Linked DNA regions of Drosophila melanogaster. Changing the gene in region 2 together with the main gene of any one other region gives a genetic interaction. Each region holds a gene or a part of one and is shown on either strand. Other genes may lie near its edges.

Region 1 (4,774 bases), on a different chromosome or scaffold from region 2:
CCCTTTTACTTCCACCCATATTTTACCCATATTTTCCCGTGCTTCCCCCGACTTTTCCCACCTCCCAACTTGTTGGACTTTTGTAACGGTTCTGGCACTGGCTGTTCATCAGGCTGCAGTCGCAGCAGTTCGGCTTACACACAATTTACAAAATAACCTCAATCCACCCACTCAATCTCGCATTCCCGCGCCCCGCTGGAAAACTGCGTCCCTGCCTCGCAGGGGCCCTTCACTCAGTCACTCAGTCAGCCGACTGGGAGAGTGTGTAAATTGTCTTGTGTAAATATGCAAATTTTTCTTATTTTCATACCCTGAAAGGGAGTCGCACTGCTGCAACAAGAACTTTACAAGCCTCTCAGGAAAATGCAGCCGCACTAGTACTGTTTTATGAAGTAAAACTAGTAACTTTGGTAAGCACTTTTTTGTAAGTGCTATTCAGAATATGCTCAACTGTATAGGAGTTGTATTAAACAAATGCGACTTTAAAAATATTTAAAGAGTTTATTCAGCATTTCCTTCAAGCAATTTTTTTCTACGAAGGAAATCCTTTGAGATGTATCTATTTATCTAATGAAATTTAAAATATAATTTTGCCAAATCATTATAAAAATTAATATATATACTCCCGATTTTTTCCTAATCCATTTAGTTTACAAGCTCTAACTTGATTTTCTGTTTCATAATAAGATTAACTGAAATATTATATACTCTTGCATCGTTTGAGTTCACATTTTTTAATTTAAAGTTGATATGGTCTGCTTTTTACTTTATTTTAACTCATATAATAAGAGTAACTTTCTTAAATCATCCTAATTTCTACCGAAATAGATTCCCATCTATTTTTAGGCACTTTTCGTGCAAGGGTATTAAGCGTATCGACTTCCTGGGGTGTATCCTGTCAATCCTGTTTTTATTGTCAACGTTGTTGTTATTGTCTGGAGTGTGGATAGGGATCGGGGGCGCTGTGGGCGGGGCGCTGGCAGTTCGTGTAAACAAACCAAGGCGTCGGATTAAAAAGTTTTGCATTACAAAGAGTTTTCGGTGGACGGACGATGGGGACGGAAGCTTGGGAAAATGTTTTGATTATTTAACTGCAAGTTACGATAAAACTAATTGCAATTACAAGCGGACTCTTTCCCTTTATGGCCCCTAATGAAATTGGCAATGCCAAGGCTGACGATTCAGCACAACTCAAATCAAACTCGGACGCAAACTTCGCACTGCAATTTTATTGGCCCGGTTCAATTTGAATGGTTTGCTTTCTTTGTTGGCCTCTGCATAAATTTTCCTCGGGCAATATTGATTTCCATTACAAATCCAATATTAAACTATGCCCCTGAGAGCGATTACTCGATTCCTACCGTTTTGCTTACTTACTTAAACCTTTTGTAACTCAACGAAATTGAGGACATGGCCAGGACACGGCCAGGATGCACCCGGCCCACAGATTTGTAGTTATTACAAAGGATCATTAAGAGCGTAGATATATTTTCCCTTTAGACTTGTCATTTAATCTCTGGAAATATTTACTACACATTCCTACCTCATAATTTGTCAAAATATTTTTGGGTGCCTTTAAAAACCAAATTTATGTTGGCCGGGGGAGATGTAAGAGTACTCAAATATATTATTGAATATAAATTGGTAACACGGATTAGCCAGTTTGCAATTGGCCTTGGTCTGCTGAACTTCTGAATAAACTGAATCAAATGCAGATGAAGTAAACTGATATTTGCTAATAAAATATAAGAAACTGAAATTTGAATTGTGCTCAGCCAACTTTAGGTTTTGTTGTAATTTAATTTGCTAGTTAAAAGTTTTCGAAGATTTTGTTGTTATAACTGAACCGAATGTTTCTTAGCAGTATAGTATTCTTGCAAAACACCTCAATGTGGTTTAGAAAAATAATTTATTGTAATTTAATTTAGGTATATCTTAATTCTGTCAGTAGATTCTATGATTTAATTTTCTAAAAATTCTTTGTAATTATTAAAGGTAAATAAGGACCATATATTTGTCTGACCTGTTATTAATTATTTTATACATCTGTACTGATGTGAATGGATGAATATTTTTTAAATGTGTTAACGTAGTGAATTTTCTTGCAGTACCATAGATATTAACTGCTTGGATACTCACTCAAATATTTTAATATATTTATTTTATATTAAAACTTGGAAACCCCAACGTTTTCGAACCTATCTAACATTTTTAAATATAAAACCTAATTGATAAACACGTACTTCATAATAGATAGCACATAGTGAGAATGCACTTTAAATATTTTTAGAACCCACATTATAAAATTTTCAAAAGACTTAGTTAAAATAAATATTTATACAAAGAAAATGAGCAAACAAATGTTTTTTTTTTAATATTGGTTTTGTACCTGTGCCCTTAACGTATTCCACAAAACCACTTAATACAATTTGAACAACATAAAATCTGCTCTCAGAAGAGCATATCACCTGCACTTTAAGTAACTTTACATAGGAATACCTGGCTCTTGTTGGCCGGGAACACAGACTCACCTGCTTTTATTTGACCTTATGCGGCTGCAACTTGTTGACTTTAATGAAAATGCACTCAGCAGAGGCTGACTGGCACACACAAAACGCTGGCACAACAAGTTAATATGTATTAGCTAGTCGCTAGTATGTCTGTAGTATCTTGGCTTAAAACGGCACTCGGTGAGACACCAACAGAAAAAAAAAGGACAAACAAAATCGGGCGGCACTCGCACACTCAAACGTACGCACACAGTTGCAAAACAAGTCAAGCGCGAAAGGACCGACTAAAACATGGCTAACATGTTTGGCTAATTGGCGTTTCTAGCGCCGATTTTTACAGCGCTCTAGCATTTATGTAAGCGGAATGTAAAACGCTTTACAGGACTTCAAAGTCTGGATTGGATTGGATTTGAATTGGAATGTTGTGGCAGGTCGTTCGGTATGTCGGCTGCTGATTTCCTTCGAAGGGATTGTGTGAGCTGTGCGTCCTTGCTGAAGGAGCCGCCGCGTCCAACTGACTGCTGCTGGATGTGCAAGCTGCGATTGTTGCAACGACTCTGCTGTCGCAGCACCAACGAAACGCAGCAGCAGCAGGCGCAGCACGGCGACAGCAGCAGCGTCAAAGGCAAAAGCAGCAGCAACACATAAACGCAGTACATGGTGGGTTCGGTGGAATACATATACATGCTCGTTGCTGCCGAAGTCCTTGCAGTCGAAGGGTTGTGTAGTTGCACTTGTAGTTGCTCGTGTTGCAACACACACAGCAGCAGCAGCAGCAGCAGCAACAGCAGCAACACGACATCAACTTCGGCCCACATTGTGCAATTGGCTTAGTTCCCAGTCAACAACTGGCCGCCTTTACAGTGCCCGTTTACAGCGAAGAGAAATGCTCTCGATATCCTTGGCTGCTTTCTCTCCGAGGATTTTCTCGAACAGCTGTTCGCGCTTGCCGGCTCTTATCAGTGAAATGGTAACAGCTCCTGTTAGCGTGCAAATGCACTTTTCTTTTCTTGGCTTTCCGCAGTGGCATTTCTTTTCGTTTCCTTCCTCTTCCTTGCCTTACTTTCATTTCCGTTCCTTTCGGTGGGGTTTGATTTATTATGTAAAAGTACAAGGACACTGCCACATACAGTGGGTACTCAATTAACTAGCTTTAGAAAACGAAAATATATATATTTTTAAAAAGGCAATGTTTACTTTAAGTAAATATTAATTGAATATAATATGATTTCAATACGAATAGCAAACATAAGTAGGCAACTTAACGTTAATAATTGATGAGTAGGGAAAACTAACAAACAATTTATCAAAAATGTATTAAATATATGCTTTCGCTACGATCCCGATTACAGGGTGTACACTGTACCTGCGGAGCTGCGTGTGCGTGCCAAGTGTTGGACAAACAAGCTGAGCACTAAAGCCGGAATACATTTGAGACTCTTGCAATCGACTTAATACGCCGCTAGAAGGGGGCACGATACGGCCTCATTGCCCCTACGGGAATGACAACCAATATGAAAATGGATTACCACAAAATGCAAATTGCGAAATGGCCAATTGATACCAGCGTCTAGCCACCTAATCGTCCGATTAAACCACCTTAAAATCGCAAAGCAGCCAGGCATTAATTACACGAAGTAAATACACCGACTCGGTTTACTCGGCAATGATAAAATCTATTATTAGAGAGGCCGAGTGGAAAGTTTTCCACCAACCAAGCCAACCAACGTTTGCTGTTGCCAACCGGCGTTGTTAGCAGAGCGCTGCTAAAGGACCTCTGTTAACTGGGCCGGCACGTGTTTCTCTCTCGCACGCACACAGCGAAGCGGATTTTTTGATTCTGTTTTGATTAATAGCTTCGTTGCAAGCTTATCAAGCGCCCACACACACACACACACACACACACACAAGCGCGCGGCCAGGAAGTGCAACAATGTCACGTGGCCGGCATTTGCCGAAGTCTCCTCTCGCCAGGACTCGCGCTCGCTCTCATTTCGAGTTGCCCCCATTTTCTCTCTCTGTAAGGCCTGCGCTGTTTACAGCAGTTAACTTTTTTCCAACGCCCTGCAATCGAACATGTTGCAACTATCCGTCTCTTTTGCGCATTTCCCCAGCCCATCGCAACAACAACAATAAACGAAAATAAACAAAAACAAATATAGCACGAGCAGCAAAAAATCGAGTATTACATAAGTCGGTGCTCCACCTACGCGAATTGGAATATAGTGCTGGCCCTATGTGACTGTCCTATATGAAAGATCGGG
Region 2 (3,116 bases):
TTAAGAACACAGCGGACAAACGGCTGGTCATTCGGCTTGGCATCCAGGGACCCGGATTCCAGCTGGTGGGCACCGACAGCAGCACGATCACACTCCAAGCCATGGAATGCCGCTCGGTAGTGATCAACTTTTGCCCCACTGTCTGTGGAGCGGCCATCGGAGCCTTGTCTTTCTATGCACCACCAGGAGCGCATAACAGCAACCAGCCGGGCCTAGAGATTCCGTTGTACGGCTACGGGGGCAGTGCGTCCATCACCATAAACGGTCTGCTAAAGGGACCGGTGGGCGCCAGTTTCCTTACCATCGGCGATGTATGCGAGCTGTCCGCTGGTCCGCTTTCGGCGAATCTCAAGTTTCACAACAAGGGCCCTCTCACCGCTTTCGTTGGTATATCAGTGGACTCCACCGTGCTCATGAAACTGCGCCTCAGCGAGGCCTTCGAGGTACGTCCGAGCCGCTTGATATTGCCGCCAAATAGCGAGCGCTGCGTGCAGATACTTTTCCGACCGAATCGTGAGGACTTGAAGAACATACTTAAGAAGACCGCACAGGTGTTGACCCTGGCCAATATGCGGATTTTCTGCGGAGACGAGCCCAACAGACAGCGTATGCGTAGCTTGGTCCAAAGGATGAGCAGCCGACAGCGAGAGAAACTCACATCGCCGATGCTGGACAGCATTTGGGGCGAATTTCCGGACGAGCAGCCAGTGCGCAACATCGGTCAGCTGAACGAACCGCCAGAGTTTATTCTGGACTTGGTCACAGTAGTGCGGATTATTGATGTTGCGCTTACCCTCAATCGGGACTTTGATGAATCGTCTGAGAGTTCCCTGATGTTCCTGCCGGAGGCCGACGAAACCGTGCTATTCCGCACCATATGTGTGGCCAATTCGCCGACGCCAACGCAGAGCCATCTATTGGAGCCAGTGGATGAGCTATTGGAGGCGGACACCACAACGTTGACGCCCGTCGAGCAAAACTGGTGTGTGCAGCCAGGTTTGCTGGAATTCGGAGTGGGCTGTTCGCCACTGGCCACTTTGTCCGTAACCAACAGCTTCTGCTCCAGGCAGCTCATCGAGGTCACATGCAATGTGCCCGATTTGGTGCGAATCAGTCCCAGTGAGTGCTACGTATCCCCGGATGGCGGCCACGCGGAGATCGATGTGCGCCTGCTCCGCTCACCCAGGCAGGATTTGCTCGAAAGGGAGCCGCTCATTGTGGTCTCCATGGAAAACGAGCGCATCAGTGTCCCGATTAGTTTTAAATTTTAAAATTTGTTTTATTTGTGCCTGCTAATTCTGCTTTCCCTATGTTTGTGTAGTTAGTTTAAACAAAAATTGTATTGTGTACTTGTGAAATGAAACCGTGTTTGCAGAGTATTTGTAAGGAAAACGCATAACCCTAAAGTTAAAATACTCGCTTGTTTCCTAAAAGTTGAATTTAGCTTAAATAAAAACTAATAAAGTATATGAGTTAATTTTAAATTTTGATATGTTGCTCTCGAATATTCAAAAAGTAACGTATATGTAGCGATAGTTCGTCGAAAAGTGAGTTGGCGGGCACATTGCAAGGTGCAAGCCGAGTACGGTCACACTGAGGAAAGTGCATCATTTAATTTCCAGCATTTTCCGATGAAAATGGATGCCGACAGCAGTGGAACCCAGCATCGAGGTACCCACTATATAGTATAACCGATCTGATCAGATTCTGATCCAGTGCCATCTTTTTGTTGTTTTTTTTCTAGTGTCATATTGTGTGAAATGTGAAATGGATGAGAATGAACGCTGGACGACCAGACAGAGAAAGAGAAGCTAGGACAATAGGACTCTCAACTGCGCATTACGTGGATTCCGTCTCCGACGATGCGCCAAACACTATGCGTTAGATGCATTGACTAACCGCACACTCTTTTCACATAGATTCCCGTGGCTCAAGGTCTCGATCCCGGCGAGAAAGAGAATACCATGGGCGATCAAGCGAGAGGGACAGCAGAAAGAAGGAGCACAAGATTCCGTACTTTGCAGACGAGGTTCGAGAACAGGATCGGTTGAGAAGATTGCGCCAAAGAGCGCACCAATCCACCAGACGCACTCGCTCCAGATCCAGATCACAGTCGTCCATCAGAGAGAGCAGGCACAGAAGGCATCGCCAGCGCTCTAGGAGCCGCAATCGCAACCGAAGTCGCAGCAGTGAACGAAAACGCCGTCAACATAGCCGAAGTCGCAGCAGTGAACGAAGACGCCGTCAACGGAGCCCGCATCGGTATAATCCTCCGCCAAAGATCATCAACTACTATGTGCAAGTGCCACCACAGGATTTCTACGTTAGTAGTTATTTGTATTGAAACAAATAACAAATCTAACTTAAATCGATTTTGCAGGGGATGTCTGGTATGCAGCAAAGTTTTGGATACCAAAGGCTACCACGTCCTCCGCCGTTTCCACCGGCCCCCTACAGATACCGCCAGCGACCGCCGTTCATTGGAGTTCCGCGATTTGGCTACAGAAACGCGGGGCGTCCCCCATATTGAACATACTCCATTCGACATAATTACAAATTTATTTACATTCGTGTGTTTTGTACATTAAAATAATAAATACATATATATTTCAAACTAAAAATGGAGAACATAAAATATTGCAAACGGAGAACGTTGATTAAATCATGAGCAAATGCAGCAAAGAAGGCGGCAAAAAAAGGGTCACACGAGTTAGGAAGTGGAAGTTACTTAATTCTAGGAGGGATAACCATATATTTACGACTTTATACATGCACATTTACACATACACTCATGGTTTCGAGGGGACTAACACTAGCGACTCTCCTAATTACGATATTTACGCATTGTCAATAAATTATAAAAATAGATCATTTGTTGTGGCATTATACTAAAACAGTGGTTAGAGCTCGACCCGCGGACGAAACTGCAGCCGAAGCGGCGGATCCCGGAAGCGCCAGCGCGTCACGTAGACGAACTTCAGCGTGTGATCCTTGCCGAGCAGCTCCTCGTTGCACAGTATGTCGATCTGAAAGATAAGATACGTAGTTATCATATAAGTATGTGCCATGTATACAAGTAACTAAGCCAGTCTGAGCTTTCACTGAGAGCAGTTACT

The links.
Region 1: of tra (region 2) and fru, changing one suppresses a phenotype caused by changing the other (phenotypic suppression), as found in Drosophila melanogaster (one study listed by BioGRID).

What each region holds. Positions count from the first base shown.
Region 1 is NT_033777.3:18,542,582-18,547,355, forward strand, and holds the start of fru (fruitless), read right to left. Parts: upstream 3,006-4,774; 5' UTR 2,532-3,005; intron 1-2,531. UniProt on the Drosophila melanogaster protein: Probably acts as a transcriptional regulator.
Region 2 is NT_037436.4:16,589,559-16,592,674, reverse strand, and holds tra (transformer), read left to right. Parts: upstream 1-1,624; 5' UTR 1,625-1,631; coding exon 1,632-1,671; intron 1,672-1,744; coding exon of another isoform or gene 1,745-1,815; exon of another isoform or gene 1,816-1,919; coding exon 1,920-2,323; intron 2,324-2,380; coding exon 2,381-2,530; 3' UTR 2,531-2,616; downstream 2,617-3,116. Other genes in the region: spd-2 (spindle defective 2), read left to right, coding at 1-1,271; l(3)73Ah (lethal (3) 73Ah), read right to left, coding at 2,901-3,026. UniProt on the Drosophila melanogaster protein: Member of the regulatory pathway controlling female somatic sexual differentiation, regulated by Sxl. Activates dsx female-specific splicing by promoting the formation of a splicing enhancer complex which consists of tra, tra2 and sr proteins.